3 linked regions of the Xenopus tropicalis genome follow. The protein of the gene in region 3 purifies or fractionates together with the protein of the main gene of each other region. This does not show direct contact. Links are inferred from orthologs where the notes say so. Each region holds a gene or a part of one and is shown on either strand. Other genes may lie near its edges. The genes, in order: gemin5, snrpd1 and snrpb2.

Region 1 (6,378 bases), on a different chromosome or scaffold from region 3:
TATAGCCTGCCTTCCCTTCCTAGCACTATTCCCCCCACCTGTATTAGAGGTGCCGGCTCCCAGGGTGCTCTGAGAGTCAGCCTGCTCCATACATGCTAGCTCAGAGCTGCCTTCCCCAGCATCTTCACCTAAAGCGGCAAATCTGCTGGTTTGTACAAGCTGTGAACCAGCCCCCCTACCCTTGTCTCCCCTACTGCCCCTCTTAACTGTTACAAATTTGTCTCCCTCATTAACCTCCACTGTCCCTTATCCACCCCCCACTACACCAGCCCCTGCCAGTGGTTGCTCAGTGAGCCTCCTGTTCTCCCCCATGTTTGCAGCTGCCCTCAGTGCTGCCAGTTCCCCCCTTAGATTCTGCACCTCAGATTCCAAGAGGAAAACCCACCTGCATCTCTCACAAGTAAATGCTGCATGGAACTGCTGCTCCAGGACCACATACATGCGACAAGATGCACACTGAGTAACACCAGCAATCATACTGCAACTCATATTGCCACTGGGTACTTACAGTCTCCTGAGTGCAATCCCTTGTATAGTGCCTTTTAAGTTTTAAATGTCTTTTTGTTTTTAACGCCTGCTAAACACTTAATTGACATGCAACACTTGGATACATGCAACACTCGCATAGCGGCTCCCACACTCGCTGTGCAGTCAGAAACTTATTGAGGTTCAAACTGTGGTTACATATTCACCACAGCAACTTATTGAGAATCTGGATAAATTCAACTGCCACACTTGGTAAGAATAGACAGCAATACATCAGAAAAAGATATAGATGCACTAGAAATATAGGAAGCTACGCCATACCGACTCCACAGAATATCCCCAACATACCCCCAATGAATGCCCCAGGTGCCACCAACCCCATGCACTCTTTTCGCACATGGTCTGGACCTGTACTAAATTATGTATCAGAATTTATGCACATGCCTTTCATTTGAATATCTTTGATACCATTGGCAGGCAAGATTTAACCAATCAAATGCAAATGAAGCAGGAGAGGGAAGGCATGCACAGTAACCAGTTCAGTGTGTGCTTCCTGTTTGGGCAGCTTGCAAGTGTGGTGCGGGCGACCCCTTCCGAAGATAGAGCAAAGAGCAGAGCAAACATAGTTTTAGCAATGCTGAGCCACAGCTTATATGGTCTGTAGCTTCAAAACTTTTAAAATAATAAGGATGTTTTTTTTATGACAGGGGCTTTTCAAATTCGTACTATTGTCTGAAGGTGAACATCCCCTTTAGCAAAGACCCAGTATTTAATGTATGACAGGCCCTTCCCTTTTCACGTTCTGGGAGAGTGAGTAAAGACAGCACCCCTATGTGGGCTGCACCTTGCATATGTGAATGAAACACAAGTTATGGGTCAGGTAGAGGGGTGCCTAGGTGCTACATGCTTCTTTTCTCAAAACACTTCTCCCTATTCCTTGAAATAACTAAAATAACAAGGGGAAATATACACATGTACATTTAAACCCAATGCTCACATCCAATGAAAAGTGGTCACTATTGGTAGCAGCAAGTAATACAAGCCTATCTTACAATGCATTTCTATACTCACCGTTAGGAAGCAGCAGGCTGGCTATCCCTTGCATCAGGGTGAAATGGCCTGCCTGCTGACAGCGGAACAGGATATGGAGGAGAGATGGAACAGCCTCTTTCCAGTTTTTAAGCTGACAATTCAGAGACAATATTGTGACCTCATGGGAAAGGTGCAGCAGCAGCTGTGGGTTTGAGAACAGTAAAACACAGGAAGTAAAACATATATACACAATCATATATAATAATAATAACAATACCATTATAATTTTAAAGGCACAATTTGCAACTATCTTTGTTAGACCAGTTCTTTCTTAATTCTTATTGGGTGGACATTCCATTTACCACTGACAGCAAATTTCTATATCTACAAAAAAAAGACTGGGTTACCTGTTTAGGGCCAGTATTGACAGTGGTCTGTGGAATCTCTGAGGCAGACAGTTGTTGCAAGGCATCTTTGTATTGCTCTGGGCTGTTTACTTCACACAAACTCTGCCATAGACTTGTAAGCTTGGTCATAAAAGGTTCCCCATTACTACTGCCTGTCTGTTCATGGAAACATGGATTGCTTTGTGTCTTCCAATCTATGGGCATCTTCTCCTTCAAATGCATGTACAGCAGCTCACTGGTACAAAACAGCAGTCTCTGCCCCTGGGAAGGATAAACTATGCATGGGAAATACATTTCTGCTAGGCATGCAAATGAAGACAAGGGATTAGTATGAGATAAAGTAAACAAATATGGCAACATATGTTTGTTTATGTATAACTGCAAATTTGCAATGCACAAAATACAAAAATTGATTCAGGATTCCAATGAGTCCAACCATTTGATTTTCGATTCGGTGCAACACTAATATAAACCATGGAGAGACGTTATAAGCTCTATAGGTCACATGAGTAAGATACAGCTTGTCTATCCTTTGTGCATGGATTTCTTACCAGCAGACTGTTGTGCTGTCGTAGTGCTTCCTGGGCTGCTAAAAAATTCTTTGCAGTGAACAGTTCCTGGGCGCAGCGGATGGCAAAAGAAGCAGCAAGGTCTTTTTCTCCTGCAACTAATGCAAGTTCAGCAGCAGCGCTCAGGGATAGCAAATCCCCCTTCTTAGCTAGAACCTTGGCAGCATCATAGGGAGAGGAGGACCCTAAATAACTGGAATAAAACACATTTTAAAAATACAAACAAATCACTGCACTTTTCCACCAACCGATCCAATGGCTGGCAAGAGGATTAGGGTCACAGACGACACCCTCTGGGAAATGCTGCACGTAGCGTTCTACTTGATAGACATCATTACATTAGTGCTAAAACACTGCAATACACTGACATACCTCTCTGTGGGGCTCTGCCCCAGCAATGGAATGTGCGCAGCTGTGGCTAGCTCCTAACAAGGGCTAACACCATGAAATAGGGTTATGGTGGCAGAATGAATAACCTGTGTGGTTTAGCCTTAACCAGAACTTTCTGCAATGCTTTCCCACACTTACCACTTAGCAGCCATGGAATAGTGCCCGTCCTGCTCAAGGACTGCTGCCCAGCTAGTGTACAGCTCCCGCAGGACTGAATCATCGGGGAGTAGCCGAGCCTTCGCCACTGCAATGGCTTCTCTAAAATTTAAACCACAATATGGTGAGGCAGCTAACACCTTGCAAGTTAATTATCTGCACAAAACATGTGTGCCCATAATAATGTGACATCCCCCATTATTATTATTAACATTTATAAAGCGCCAACATATTCTGCAGCGCTGTACAATAAGTGGGTTTCATACATTGGACATACAGAGTAACATATAAAGCAATCAATAACCGATACAAGAGGTGAAGAGAGCCCTGCCCAAAAGAGCTTACAATCTACAAGTAGAAAGGGTTGAGACACAAGGTGTGGGATCCTTACATATGGGCTTTTACATGAAACAGGTTGTTTGTGATAAAATAAAGGACAGATAAAGACATGCTGGCTATCAGGAAATAAAGCATTAGCTTTAAACCATAAGGTTAAATTTTGACTTTTTTTCAACATGAGCTACTATGTAAAGATCTGAAGCAGCCTGGCTGGTTTAATTATTATTTAGAAGATGCCTAGACCATGTTCTGAGGGCCTGACTTATTGTCCAACTTATTAGGCAGACTAGTAATTTAATGGCCACTCATAAGGTAAGTAACAGTAACACTTCCCCATGTAACAATTACTCGTGCTTGTTTTCCAATGCTGCCCGCTAACCTCCAAACCATACTGAGTGAGCATGCTGGGACATGTACTTTTGTCTTTCCCTGACACTGATGTTCAGACCTGTAGAGGTGGTTCCCCTTGAGCAGTTCCACGGCTTCATACACTTTATTAATGGACAGCAGGTGGGAAGCGGCTTTCACGTACTGCTCATGAAAGCACAGCTGTTTCACAAAGGCTTCAACGGTCCATAGCCAGACCTTGTATCCGGCTAAAGAGGGAGAGGAGAGGACAATTTTTACATAAGGGCATCAGAGTTAAGTCAGGCATCTATTCCACAACTGCATACCCCCAGGACCACCACTAGGAAAGGAAGCAGTAAACAGTTCTTTTTGGATCTGGGGCAAGGTTTGGAAAACACAGGCCCCTAGATTCTTGACAGCAACACTACAGGCACCAAGAGGAAATGTTGGAATGCTCTGTTTTATAGCATCTTGTTCTCTGCTGTTTGTATATGAGGTCCTTCACTCACCTACGGGAGACAGCGCCACCAGCTGATCAGTCAGTTCACCCCTCTCTGCAGCCAGTTGCAAAGTCCCCTTCAGATCCCCTTTCCAAAGCATAATTTGATGCTGGAGCTCAGGGTGCCCATTCTCCAGATGAGCCTTACCTGCAAACCAAACAGGAAGCCATAATCAGTGCAAGAAACAGGAATAAAGCAAAACACTGCAAGCACCTATAGCCTTGTGCCCTAACACATTTATGAATTCCTTACTCACTTCTTATTTTATAACAGGCAGCACTTTATCCCTTATACTTTGTATTTGGTTTGCTGGTTGCTGCCATCTGATATTGATAGTAACTGGACCAGTTATGTAGTCCAGGACTGTCCACAGCAATATGACCCATTTGCTTATATATAAGTAAGGGTGCAGCGGTGTAAGATATGAAAATTGAACAAACCCTCCTCCTCCATAAGGTGATAAAGGGCTGCTCGGTCACTGTATAGTCCCAGGTGCATTGTGTCCTCCGAGTGAAAATGAGATTTCTCTTCCAAATCTGTGAAGGAAGATAGAGGGGTTCACGTTATGGACAACAACAGAAGTTGGATGTACAATGGATCAAAAAATGTCATGCAAATGCTATGGTTAAGGATTATTTAGGCTCCATTCAGGTTGTGTCACACACCAATAGGGTTTAAATACTCATTCTACAACAACTTTATTGGTGATGGACACAACCCTGGGGAATCCGACACCTTTGTAAAGAGTGGTTCTTCATTATAATATGACCTCAACACTTCCTCTCCAATCTTCGGGCCTCTCTACCTCCTTCATGCTCATTCCCCAATTCTGTGTACTTTACTTATCCCGTGCCCTCTCCTCTTCCTTTTCCAAACTCAAATCCCAACCTGCTTCCTCCATGCACCACCCCCCCTCTACTTCTCCAATCTCTTTTTCCATTCAACAAATGAGTGCCTATAGCTAATAGAATATGAAAAATGGTGGACACCAAGAGTTTTAAAGGTGAAATAATCTAGGAATGCACCACATTGGATAAAAGACCAACTATTTTGTGGAGGATTCAGTATATAACATCTCTCTAAAATATAACATATTTAACCAGAGAAATTTCCACCAGGTGCAAAGGTGATATTGCAAAGATAGCCCTACATATCTACCAACTGGCTCTTCAGCATTTCAAAACGGTCTTCATTACTCATTTGTTATAGTTTTTCAATTATTTGGCTTCTTCCTCTGTGAAGCCACAATTTTATTGTTCTTTTTTATTACTTATCTTTCAAATGAGACCCTCACCTATTCATATTCCAGTCTCTCATTAAAACAACTCCCTGTTTGCTAAGGTAATTTGGACCCTAGCAACCAGATAGCTGCTGAAAATTCAAATTGGAGAGCTGCCAAGCAAAAAGTAAAATCATTATAAAAAACCTCAAATAATAAAAAATGAAGGCCAATTGGAAATTGTCTCAGAATTTTACTAAATGTTAACTCAAAGCTGAACAACCCCTTTAAGCATGGGGCAGATGGCTGGGACTGCGCTGGGTACTTGGTGGTGATTCCCATTCACATGGAATGGGGGCAGTTTTGGGTGTTTTGTGAATATGCTTGAAATCTACCTGTTTGCCAGGTAGCTTCAAGCAAAGGGACACTACATCCTGCTGGCAACATTAATGAGCAGTGTATGTTGCTACTGATAATTTCCAGTTCTGAATATTACAGACAACCAGATAAGATAATGTTATTGTGTTCTTAAAGGTACAGTGCCAAAAGCCAGAAATGGAAAAATTACCCTTCGCACATACAACAGTTGCCAACTTAACACAGTCTCGGTGTTGCTCTTCTTTAGATCGGTGATCTTTGCTGGTGCTGATGGGAAGCAACGATCGACTCTTCTTCTTCCTGATTTGCAGATCTGCAACAGGAACACGGTATAATACAGTCACAGCAAGTATTTAGGGATAAGGCAACCTAATTTAGTGTCTTCCACTATGCAGCTCATCACTGTCACCATTCAGGCAGGGATATTTGTAAACTTCAACTATTTTAATTACCAGTTATGCACCATGTTTTAAAGAGGATGTAAAGTCAAAAACGAATAGCCTGCCCAGTCCCAAAAAGAAACCTAATTATAATTTACATCCATGACAAAAACT
Region 2 (6,478 bases), on a different chromosome or scaffold from region 3:
GAGGTATGTTATTTTGAGGGCTGTTTAGAGTCTTTTGAGAGATTTTTTTATGTTGAATATACTACATTCTAAAAATGAACCATATCCATGTCCAAGAACCCCGCTCAGAGCCAAAAAGCTTTTCCTCTTCAAATAGCAAATTTATTTAACAAACTGTTTTAGAGGCATCATCTCCAGCCCAGTGGCTTAACCAACTTGCCCTATGGGCTAATGTAGAAAAGCTGCAGTTATGGCTAACAATTCCCATTTATGCAATAGAGGCTTCACTGATGAAATATACTGCCAGAGAAAGAATTGTTACTCTAGAAATACCACTCTGAATTTGACCAACCCACACTGGGACTTGGCACAAATTGCAATGGGCTTTTTAAATTCCTTCTTAGCATTTGGGCTGTATAATCAGGTTTAGCTTTGTCTGGGGTAGGACTATCAGAAGCAGAGTTAGCTGAAAGTAATGAACATCAAAAAGCTGCTAATGACAGAACAAGAACAGGTATAAGTGCAGGGCTTACCAGGAGAGAAAGGAATTTAAACATGTGGGGCCACATACACGTATTTCTGATCAAAAGCATCTGTTAGATAGGAAGTTGCATTCCTGGCAACCAAGAAGGGGAAACAACACTTAAATCCATGTTCGGCATGTAACCTAAGATGAAAACCTGAGCACTGCCTGAACTATGGGACAGAAAATAAAAAGCTTCTTGTGGTAGGGGCAGTGGCTTTACATCATTCCTGACTTTAACTTGGCACAATAGTATCAGGATTGGTAATAAGGCTTTAGTTGCTGCTGACAGCAGCCAGACAAATTACACTGTGTGTAATTGTCCTAATGGAAACTACCTGGCCATGTAGTACAGGTTGTTATTAACATTTTCTACCACATATTTTTGGATAAGAGCAGCACGGACGGCTTCAAGCTTGGGTCTGCCAGCTTAAATACACACAGAACTGCCCAACAAGCACTAAGTATTCTTTAACATACAATTAAAAAGAACAAAAAAAAACATGCTCCAACATGTTTTAACATCTTGGGATAAAAAAAAAATCAAACATCTATGAAAAACCTTTTTTTTTTATTAGGCTTTCAAATGCAACTTATATGCATTAAAAACAAAGACACAACCAACTTTGTTACAAAAAGAACTGAATGCCAATATTCAATATCAATTACCTAGTTGCAGAACCCAGATTTTAACCGATTTGTGAATTTAAATAGCAACCTGAAAAATATTTGTATTTGACCAAAGCATTGAAGGGAATGCAAGAAGAAAGTTGTTACTGGCACCTGTCCAATGCACTGAATGGACTGTTACTAATGTAAAGGAACAGTGAAGAATATAACATCACAAGGATTCCTATAACACTAATGCTGGTCATATACAAATGTGTGGCAGGGATGCAGTGTACATAACAGGAATCATTTACTAACACTAAGCACCAGTGCAGTAACCAACAGTAACCAATTAAAATGTATTTTCTACATCCAGTAGATCAAAATGTATTCTATATGGTTACTGTACCAAGCTAAAGCACCCAGCATTAGTAAATATGCCTCAATAAGTAGTTAACTAGTACAGTGTACAAGTAATATCATGAAGTAGTATTTGTGTGCATTCAGGTATGAAAAAAAAAAACTGTACAAAAACATCCTCTAATGGCGAAGTTTTCACATATATTATCTTCTTGGGCCTCCTCTACCTCTTCCTCGCCCTCGGCCTCTACCACGGCCTCTCCCTCTTCCTCTGCCAGCAACTGTTTAGAAACAGAAATCAGGTGAGGATCAGTAAAGTAAAAACAAACAAAAAAAAAAAACAAAACACATACATACATTTGCTAAAACAGAAATATCAAGTAACAGTTTCCAACAGATCTTCGAATTTCGGATGTATATTATGGCATTATATTGTTTTGCAAAATAGTTCCAACCATATAAAATAATGAAGTAGATATAAAGGAAATATACCTTCATAGCAAATCCCATAATGTACACACACTACCTGCACACTGAAACACTACTTCTGCCTAATGCAGTTTTGTATGCCATTGTATCTAATGAATATACCAATCTAACCACTTCAGGGAGTACATCAAACACCTTCCTAGCTCTTACTGTTGGAAATTAATACTTCTATATTTATGCTTACTGCATTAAAAGCAGTGGATGATATATTATGGGATGAAGCAATGCTAACTACTTCAAAACATTATTTAAAATGTAAAAATAGTTGATAAAATGCTCTGCCTTTAACACCTTAAGATACTTTGGACTGGCTTTTAAAGACAGCCTAATCTCTTCGTTCCTGTCTCCCACCCCTATGCAATGAACAGAGGAAGGGGAATGAGTGGAGCCTGACACACAAATGCCCCAACAGCCGACATGTGGAAACCACTTGTGAGTGTTTTACTTGCAATGATGCAAAAGTAAATGAATGAGAAGGCAATTTCAGGGGATTTGTTGCTGTGGTAACGCAGATTTACTACAGGCAACAAATTTCTGTGTGCCAGTACCCTTAGCACTGCATTTCACAACTAACAATCACATTCTAGCCATTGTTAATCAACGGAATTACAAGTTTGTTTTAATGTTTAGAGGCCATCTCCACACAGGCAATCCTACTATTGTTTCTACAGTTTTACCTAAAAAGCCCATGCAACCCGATTAATAAATACCAACATACTGCAGGCTGTACAGCTAATATTTACAGATTTGAGCTGCCCTTTGACATAGTTCACCATTCTGGGTTCCTCTGGCAGGATAGAGGTTTCTATTATGTAATCCCATCTAACATGATCACCTTACTGAATAAATATTACATACAATTTGCAGTCATCACACGCAGCTCAACATGGCTTAAAGGAGAAGGAAAGGCTGAGTCACCTGGGGATGCCAAAATGTAAGGCACCCCCAAGTGACTTTAAATTGCTTACCTTTTAGCCTGGGCTGGTGCCCCTGTTAGGAGAAGACCGCACCAGCCTGGGGTACCTGCGAGCGTCTCCCCTTCCTGCTTCTGGCGCTTGCGCAGTAGAGTGGAAAGCCAAACTTAAACAAAAAAGCCAGCCCAGGGATTTTGCCGACAGAAGGAAGCGCTCGCTGCAGGTACCCCAGCTTGGTGCGGTTTTCTCCTAACAGGGGCACCAGCCCGGGGTAAAAGGTAAGTGACTTAACCTTTCCTTCTCCTTTAATTTATAAAAAGTGACCCAGATTGACAGTTGGTGCTTTTGGGAACCGTCTGTTTGGATAGGAAACTGGCTACACAACTGCGTTAGAAAGTGTAGTTTTTAATGCATTCTCTACTTGGGTTCTTAACAGGGTGCTGCAGGGTTCTGTTTTGGGTCCACGTTTATTTAATTTGTTTATTACTGACTTGGTGGTGGGAATTGTACACTGTAAGTAGTGTATTGGTGTTTTCAGATGAAAAAACTATTCTGGGCATCTTTGAAACAGGATCAGGACAAACTGGCAACCTAACAGGTTTTATTTAAACAAAAGTAATACAATAATTCAGGTTGAAAAAGTGACTCATATCCACAGAGTTCAACCTTTTGCTCCGAATTAAACCTGCCTAACTGCCCGTTGTATAGATGTGTGTCCTTTTAACCAAAATTAATATGTTATGTTTTGGCACCAGTAACGGTTTTGGTGTTCCAATAACAACTTTTTTTTTTTTTATATACACAATAGAACAAAAAATATGAAAACTATACTTACCAGCCTCCCTCTTCTTTGACTTAACTTTTGGCTCCACATCAACAAGTAACGTGTCAAGAGGCAAACTGTCTGGTAGAATGAAGTAACGAATATTATTTCCTCGAATACTTAATGTTTCCAATTGAACAGGCTCTCTATTCTTCACTGTCATTTTAACGGCTTTCAAATGCGTATTCATGCTCACATCTACTCCTAAAAGAAACAAAAAAGTAAAAAAAAATGAAAATCAAGGCGTCATCATTGTTTACAACACAACTTCATATGACAGAATAAAACAAAGTCTTAAAAAAAAAAAAATATCTTTAAAATTCAGGGATTAAATAATGAGCATTATTTACTTTTACCTTACTAAAGGGATTGGCATATGGGTCAATTCTGCCCATTTTGTTGTTAAAGTATTTGCCAGCACTTTGTATGGGGTTATGTTCAAGGTTTAAAAATGAATGCTTAGTTTCTTCTCAGATACTATGGAACTGCACAATCTTATTGGTCAGAGGGTCAAGCATATGATGTTGGGGTAAATGGATGGCAGACTAATGCTCAGCAACAATAGCAAAGGTGCTTTGTCCTTTGCTATAATTCTATGATACCATTGTGTGGCACAAGCTAATTAAACTACTCGGGAGGACACTATAATAAAACAATATTAATCTAGGGTCATACATGTAGAGATTCAATCAATTTAACCCAAAACCACACTCCTCCTATTTGATTAACCGGATTGGGCCACTCCATATTACTGAAGGTAAGATGGAAGGATTGTAATTTTGGGGTAAATGGATGGCAAATTTTAAAAGCTCAGGGGCTCTGAAAATGTACAGGTTTGTCCTTTTGATTAATTTTATGATACCAAGTACTAGCAAAATCGGATTGGTAGGTGTGTGACTTAGGGGCAAACAAAAGGGGGTAGTAAAACCATTTATCTAAATTTGTTTTATGACTGATATTTTGAGACAAAATTATTAGCGTGGGCTAACAGAGCCTTTATATAATAATTGTTTTTTTTTTTTTTTTTTTATAGCCCCCTACAGTGCTAGGCTGCCAGCACTGGGAGGAAGGTCCTGGTTCAGGCAGCCATGTTGTGGCACTCACATGTGCATAACAAGTGAGTGCCACAAATCGCTGCTTATGCATATGTGTGTGATGTAGGTGGGCAAGTCGCATCCGCAGCTCCTACATTACATGCATGCACATAATAAGTGAGCGGGAGTCTCCCGCATAATGCGCATGCATGCTTAATTAACATGGCCGCCGCACTGGGAGCTCCCTCCTGGTGGGGGGCGGCCTAGTGCAGACAGACTTTAAAAAAAACCCAAAAACTACTGCATCTCCCAACCAGAGTGTGGGCTCTATTAGCCTGCAACTTTGGTGGGGAAGCAATTTTAGCGCGATCGGTGCCCTTTAAGGTAAACGTATGACAAATTAAAAGAACATCTTTGAAAAAGGTTTTGTTGCATTTGGTTGTACCCTATGGTATGATAAAATCTGACAGGTCCCCCTGCCCACAACAGACTGGCCCATTCTATTTGACCAAAATTTTGGTAACTAAAAATAGCTGTTGACTTTCTCCCGGATGAGATGTCTCTGTCAAGTTGTTGTCCCATGTCCAAACAAATTTGTGGTAACATGAAAGAACACAACAGAATAGGTTGGAGATGTGAATAGGCATTGCAAGCAGGGGCAGAATATTTTGTAAACTAAGGGCTGTGGCAGACGGGGAGATTAGTCGCCACTCGACAAATCTCCCCGAAATGCCATCCCACCGGCTAGAATGTAATTCCCGGTGGGACGGCATACATGGCGCAGAAATTGCCGAAGTTCCTTTGCAACTTCGGCAAATCGCCCTGCCGCATATGCCACTGCATCGGCGATTTACATTCTAGTCGGTGGGATGGCATTTTGGGGAGATTAGGTGCCCCTGGTTTAAAAATTAGCACTGAGTACCATAAACTGGGAAGTTGTCCAATGGCTGAACACAACAGTAATCACAGATTAGTATCACTGTTATTTGCAGTTATTGGTGCTTTACTAGGGCATCCAACAAAATTTAAAGGAGGCATATAGGATTAACAAAAATATTCTCTTAGTTCCCTGTTTCAAATGAGGGAGGGGGGCGTGTCCTAACGGTCCCTGCCATAAACACAGTAGGAGGGGGGGTTGCCAATCACAGCCCTGCACTCACACAAAGGAAGGCTTCAGCTCCCTATCAGGTTTGCCTAGATCAGGGATCCCCAACCTTTTTTTATCCGTGAGTCACATTCAAATATAAGAAGACTTGGGGAGCAAAACAGGCATAATACATGTTCCTTTGGTTACTAAATAAGGACTGTTATTGGCTATTTGGTAACCCCTATATGGACTGAAAAACCTACAGGATGTTCTGTTTGGCAGCATATCTGGTTTTTATGCAACCAAAACATGCCTCAAAGCCCATAATTCAAAAATAAGCACCTGTTTTAAAGCCACTGGGAGCAACATCCAAGGGGTTGGAGAGCAACATGTTGCTCACGAACCACTGGCCTAGATGCAGCCTGGGAAAAGAAGGCAGCAGGTAGTAAAACAGGTGGGTGGGGCTAGTGGGTTTTTGGGCGAAAATTTCAATAAACGCTACTTTTCTTAGCACATTCCATCAAAATAAAACTTACTGCACAGAAGCCAAGTCTTAGCAACAAAAGACAGCAGAAGTTATGTAACCTATGCTGCCGGAACTGTATTTTTGAGGTGACACGCATGTGTATATGACAAGACCTACACTCTGTATTCAAAACA
Region 3 (6,478 bases):
ATCGGTCGTTTGTAAGTAAAAAATCGGTCCGTGTATGGCCACCTTAAGACACCTTATATGTGCGCTGCTTACAGAGAGGGCTCACTGAGCCTGCATTTACAGCACAATGCAGCCCTTGGCAGCCTACTCAGTCAACAGAAATAAGCCCAGATAAAAGGAAAGGGGCGTTCTTGTACCTAAAAATTTCTAGATATTTTGCTGACCTTTCCTTAAATAGTCCAGAGAAAGCATTACTTTGTATCTTACCAGAGCAGGCTTTTTATTTGCAGCATTAGCTGCCTGTTCTTGTGCTTTGGCTTTCTTCTTCTCTTTTTTCTTCTCTTTATCAGCAAATGTACCTTTCATCTTTAGTATCACATCAGAGTCGCTCTTTGCATACTGGATGCGCTAGAAACAAGAATAAAAGCATTATTAGAGCAAACAGCCTGGAAACGTAATCTCTGAGAATCACTTTCCGCCAAGGATCATTGGCAAAAGTGTCATTGCTTATTACAGTGCAAAACCTGTAGGTATCGCTCCTGGTGGAAACTTAAAATTGCTATTACATTAAATTAGCGTTGAGATCACTTCTAGCTAAAGCAGATATAAACATGTCACTAAAATGCTTAAGGGCTAAATTCTAATTTAATTCACTTCTGCAGTTCTTTAATAATCAAACAGCAGAGTCTAACAGTAAATATTTGGAATCAATTTAAATTAAGGTGTTTCTACCAACAACCACTCCACACAATTCCAAGGGACTCTAGACTTTGGCTGGCCTATGGCAACAGGCAATAAAACCTTTAATTGTGTACCCCAAGAAAAGAACCAGAAGGTTGGAATTTGAGCCATATATCTGTTATTTTGTCTCAATTAGTTATTCTGAGCAGGTTTACTGTGCAAGGGCTGGCAGAGTGGAGCAATTTCTATTATCCAAACCTTCATTTGTCCCTAGTTAAACTACAGTTTTATGCTTAATTATAAAAAAAAATATATATACATCTTTCAGTAAGTTTAGAACAGTTATATAAAGTTTTCTATACAGAGTGAGGTAAATCATAAAAATTCCTGGATGAGGAATAACTTACCATTGGTTTATTATAAAAAGGGAAACCCTGCAACTGCCGCAGAGCATTTGTAGCAGAACTCAGCTCTTTGAAGATTACAAACGCTTGTCCTCTCATTTTCATGGTCTTTAATGCCACAATGTCTACAACATGGCCAAACTGGGAGAATAGCGCATACAATGATCGCTTTAGTTCTGAAAAGAAAAAAAAAAAAAAAAACTTCACAGTATAAGTATAAAAACATGTATGGTTAAATCTCTTGCACGGATTTTGATAAGGTGAAAATAGAATATCAGTATTAGTTATTACATTTATTACTAAAACCAGTGCCATGGGATATTCTGCACAAGAAGCTTTTCTGTGCATATTAGTGATTATACAAATGACTGGGTGCGGCCGTGATTGCACATGTTGCCGACACTCTCTCCTTTCGTATTGCTTGCTGATTGCAGTGGTGCACATTTTAACTGAAGCACCTAGGCAGGCACCATCCTCAATAAAAAAAAAACATCTAAAATGATAAGAAATCGTTACTGATGGCCTTTTTACCTACTTGCTGCCATCAAATGCTAAGCACTGGTGAGCACTAGATCAATAAACAGCAATAATATCTAGGGCAAGAAGCATAATAAATAGCAGAAGAATAGTAGTATATGAAATGGAAAAAGTAGACTTCTGAGCAGATTTTTTTTTAAGTTAGTTTTACACTTTTAAAGCTTGAAGGATATTTAAGTTTGTTTGTTTTTCTTCATTTCTCTGCAGTTTTTACTATTTAGGGGAATACAAAGGATATAGGAGAGTAAAAAATGCCTTCACAGATAACAGCATAAGGAGTTGCAATACCAATGCTGCTGTCTAGATGTAAAGTGTACTCTGCCAGGAAAGACTGTATAGAGTGTAGACTGAGAGTGTATAATATTCAACATTTAAACGCTCCTCACACTTACCCGGTTTTTTTACTTTATCACAGAGGTTGTTGATGTAGACAGTGTGATTTGGCCGAATATCCATGGCTTGTATATTCTAAATACTGAAAGAGATGTTAAAAAAAAAAAAAAGGACCTTAGATATAGAAAAAAAGTACAGTATTACTCAAGGTTCTTTTCTCCTTGGAGATGGACTACTGTGCCACACACACATTTTTACCAGTGAGCCACATCCAAATGTAAAAAGAGCTGGGGAACAACACAAGCATGAAAAAAAAAAAAAAATTCCTTCTGGTGCCAAAAAAAGGCTGTTATTACCTCTTTGGTATTCCTTACGTGGACTGGCAGCCTAAAGGGACTCTGTTGGGCAGTACATCTGGTTTTTATGCAACCAAAACTCCAAGCCAGGAATTCAAAAATAAGCACCTGCTTTGGGGCCATTGGGAGCAACATGTTGCTTATGAGCCACTCATTGGGAATCACTTCCCTAGAGTAAAGCAATAATTTTCAAAAGCCAGGCACACTGTAATATTACCAAAACTAACCCGCCATGATATTGCACATTAGACAAGCCTGCGAACCACATCTGTCAGACCCACTTTCAGATCAGAATATTATTATTGTATATAACATGTGCCATGAAATTCCAACTGAATTCAACCTACATAAATCTATACATAAAACCAAATACATGCTTGTACAGGTATGAGATCTGTTATCTGGAAACCCATTATCCAGTTTATTAAAATAATTCACTATTTGAAAATATACTAAATTGTTCTCTGTTGTAATAAAACAGTACCTTGTACTTGTTCCCAACTAAATTATTTTTTTAGTAGACTTAAGGCATGGAGATCCAAATTATATAAAGACCCCTTATCTGGAAAAGCCCAGGGGTCCCATGCCTGTAATAGTATAATGCATGCTTTTAAATTGAATTTCTTTTTATAGCCTACAATTTCAGCAACACAGATAAGACTATAAGGCATAGCCCGGCATATTTTTCAATAAATATGAAATATACAGACTACTACAAAATAACATCCCATTATTAAAAACATGTAACTGCTGGATTTAGTAGTACAGGTATGGGACCTGTTATCCAGAATGCTCGGGACCTGGGGTTTTCTGGATAAGGGATATTTCCGTAATTTGGATCTCCATCACTTAACTCTGTTAAAAGTCATTTTAATATTGAATAAACCCAATAAGATTTTTTGCCTCCAATAAGGATTAATTATATCTTAGTTGGGATCAAGTACAGGTACTGTTTTATTATTACAGAGAAAAGGGAATCATTTAACCATTAAATAAACCCAATAGGGCTGTTCTGCCCCAATAAGGGGTAATTATATCTTAGTTGGGATCAAGTACAAGGTACTGTTTTATTATTACAGAGAAAAAGGAAATCATTTTATAAAATTAAAATGATTTGCTTATAATGGGGTCTAAGTGAGATGGCCTTTCCGTAATTCAGAACTTTCTGGATAATGGATCCCATACCTGTAGTATTATGATTTAGTCACTGCACTTTTCTCCCATACCCAACAATATACAGGCAAACTAGCCTGCCCCTGTGTATATTAGTGTGTGTATAATACACAATTATAAGCTTTAGTGCAGCTCTTTCCCAGCCATACACTGGCGACCCCCAGTCGCACACAGATCAGGGACAGCTCTATTGATTGGTTGCAATGTATGGAAACTGATTGCAGTTACAAATCAATCAATACCATTAATTACCACACGAAGTTGCCCCTTAACCGAGTTACAGCTACATATAAACCCGCACTACAGGCGCGTTTTATTCCAATAGCAACAGAACGGGCAGGAGTTGGACGTGGCTGCTGGGGAAGTTGTTGCTCATTACCCGCTGCCAGCTTCTCACCAAGCGAAGGAGCGGAACGTATAGAACTATTACCAAAAGAAACCCTCGTACAATGACAAACAAGCCCGGCAATCACCCATACAAGCTCCTTCCTTACCGCTCACACACGCTTCCGTGCGCCTTACGGCTCCAAGCTGGCGTCGCACGTTGATTTCCAGCAAACGCGCATTAGAACAGGAAAGAGACGTACGTCACGGCTCCGAGGTCACTTCGGCCATCTTTCGTAAGGGCAAAACCGCCTTCGCATAATTGATCATAAAGTTATTTTCTTTGACGTTTTGTACATTCCCAGGTTGCGACTAGAGTGTCATATAATAAACAACTGTTTTTGTCTTTCCGCCAAAATTTTAAGCACCTGTGTAATACAGTGGAACGGCGGTATTCATTATTAAATTATGGCAGGGAACGTTAGGGCAATACGTGGGGGTCAGGGCTGTTTTAAATTCATTTGGGAAGCAACAATAGTACAAATTTTACCTCATCTATAGTAACTTATGGCACCATTTCACCTGTATAAAATCAAACATGTATTGCTTGCTCTCTAGGTTACTGCAGCTGGGTAAATGTCCTTTATATTACATCTTGAGAAGAGGTGCACAAAACAAGCACACCAGAGCTGTTAACCAACCCCATGATAATGATCCACTCCATGCCTTTTTGAGTCCTTATTTCATGTTATCATATAGGGGCCCATTCATTTTTTTAGAAAAAAAAATAGCATTTTTCTATAGAACATTTCGGAATGTCCACAATAATTTCGCTCACATTCCACGACTTTTTTGTGATTTGCACTAACTTCGTATTTTTCGCAAAGACTACAACCATTTCGGGATTCATTCAACCTTTGGTATCGTGACTATCTTTTGGCCAGGTTGGAGCTGCAGAGTGCCATTGAGTCTTATGGAAGGCTTCCCAAAATCATGCATTGAAGGTTACAAAGCCAGAAAGGTTTTCACGCCATTTATGAACGTTCGGATCCGAAAATTTTGTGACTTTCGTAATGCAACCACAATATTTTGTTAGATGTGTCAGTGACATTGCACATACTCAGTGGGCTCTGGGCAGCTGTTGAGAAGCAAAGCTTAGGGGTTGTCAGAAATCAGAAAGCAGAAAATAAGGTTCTCCTGTTATTGAAGCTGATGCTACAGGGTTTATTATTAAATTCTGGAGCAAACTGTATTCCTTTCATGTAATAAAAATCTGGTTTAACAACTTATCAGCATTGTATTATGGCTTTTATCAGCATTTGCACCCCACATCTTTGTTAAGCTTTAGTTCTTTTTTGACCCCAATACAAGTGACAATTCTTTTACCAATATCTACTGTATTTTAGAGTCTACTCTAGCTCTAAAAATATATACAGTGTAACTACACAGCACTTTGGAGGGGCCTAGTCCACACTTTAACCCCATACTGATCCCCCACTCACCTGCATACATCCCCCACTCTCCACCACTCACTCTCACGTAGGAGAGCAGCCAGTGAGTGGGGATCTCCTTACACCTAAAGAGAAAGTAGACCATGTGGTCTGGGGCCCTTGTCTCCTGGACCCACCCCTGCAACTGTGGGGTCTGCTTCCTATATATTTACACCACTGGGGGTGCCAGTATAGATTTTGCAATTTAAAAAAGGCTGGAGGGCCTGACCTATAGAGAGATAACAAATGTTGCACATTAAAATTCCTTTGCGCTTTTTAACTACACCCAATCAGTTTTCACTTTAACACCCATTGCATTTTGTAGTTCTGCAATCTCCAGTATGTGTTTGTATCTCCCACAGCGGTCATCTAGATTCAGGGTCCTCACAGCAGGTTTTCTGCCTGATAAATGATATAAAGAAGACCACATGCTGCTGAGATCTCTAATACAACCGTTTTTGCACACACTTGGTGAAGCCCAACATTTTGTTGTGTCCTTCCCCCCCCTTCCCTTACTCAGGTTATTGAGAAGGGGAAAATACCATGCACCACCTGAACTTGGTACAATAATGTTGTATTATACATCTCAGCAGCATATTACTATGTTTATTGGGTATTGTTACTGGTTAGGAGGGTGGCCAGGGGCACCATCATTGAGAACTCAGTTACAATATTTGTAAATGTAGTTGCTGTTAAAAGCAGTATCTATACCTATACATATATATATTTTGCATTGCTAATCCTGACTACATATACAATTTTGTACCACTAAAATAATGCAGCAAGAGTCAGATCTCCTCCAGCCAATACTTTATTCCCGCAATGCCTCACACTTCTGTAATACTCGCTCTGCACAAGTCTCTTCATCAATGATCAAACATGCAAGGATTTGTGGGTAAAGGTGTGGTTTATTTTCAAGCTATCTTTAAATATGTTACAAAATGTCCTATTCCTAGCAGCTTTGCAATTTGTCTTCATTAGTTATTTTTTATTGTTTTCCAATTATTCGTCTTGCTCTTCTAAGTCTTTCCAGCTTTCAAATAGGGGTTACTGACCCAGGCAGCTAAAATCTGTTGCTTTGTAAGCTTACAATTTTATTATTTTTGTTACTTATCTTTCTATTCAGGCCCTTTTTTATTCAAAGTCCAGTTTCTCATTTAAACAACTGCCTAGTTGCTAAGGTAAATAAGACCCTAGCAAC

What was found.
Region 1: the proteins of snrpb2 (region 3) and gemin5 purify together in Homo sapiens (co-immunoprecipitation; 3 studies listed by BioGRID and IntAct, with this or other methods). This does not show direct contact. The link is inferred for Xenopus tropicalis from reciprocal best matches to the Homo sapiens genes SNRPB2 and GEMIN5.
Region 2: the proteins of snrpb2 (region 3) and snrpd1 purify together in Homo sapiens (affinity purification with mass spectrometry; 3 studies listed by BioGRID and IntAct, with this or other methods). This does not show direct contact. The link is inferred for Xenopus tropicalis from reciprocal best matches to the Homo sapiens genes SNRPB2 and SNRPD1.

The regions. Positions count from the first base shown.
Region 1 is NC_030679.2:17,529,172-17,535,549, forward strand, and holds part of gemin5 (gem-associated protein 5), read right to left. Parts: intron 6,138-6,378; coding exon 6,015-6,137; intron 4,764-6,014; coding exon 4,668-4,763; intron 4,375-4,667; coding exon 4,237-4,374; intron 3,976-4,236; coding exon 3,828-3,975; intron 3,143-3,827; coding exon 3,023-3,142; intron 2,688-3,022; coding exon 2,477-2,687; intron 2,187-2,476; coding exon 1,926-2,186; intron 1,721-1,925; coding exon 1,558-1,720; intron 1-1,557. UniProt on the Homo sapiens protein: The SMN complex catalyzes the assembly of small nuclear ribonucleoproteins (snRNPs), the building blocks of the spliceosome, and thereby plays an important role in the splicing of cellular pre-mRNAs.
Region 2 is NC_030682.2:65,065,060-65,071,537, forward strand, and holds the end of snrpd1 (small nuclear ribonucleoprotein Sm D1), read right to left. Parts: intron 3,902-6,478; coding exon 3,710-3,901; intron 1,753-3,709; coding exon 1,676-1,752; 3' UTR 1,057-1,675; downstream 1-1,056. UniProt on the Homo sapiens protein: Plays a role in pre-mRNA splicing as a core component of the spliceosomal U1, U2, U4 and U5 small nuclear ribonucleoproteins (snRNPs), the building blocks of the spliceosome.
Region 3 is NC_030681.2:29,851,130-29,857,607, reverse strand, and holds the start of snrpb2 (U2 small nuclear ribonucleoprotein B''), read right to left. Parts: upstream 3,997-6,478; 5' UTR 3,958-3,996; intron 3,956-3,957; exon of another isoform or gene 3,706-3,955; intron 2,077-3,705; 5' UTR 2,058-2,076; coding exon 1,994-2,057; intron 1,241-1,993; coding exon 1,068-1,240; intron 388-1,067; coding exon 247-387; intron 1-246. UniProt on the Homo sapiens protein: Involved in pre-mRNA splicing as component of the spliceosome. Associated with sn-RNP U2, where it contributes to the binding of stem loop IV of U2 snRNA.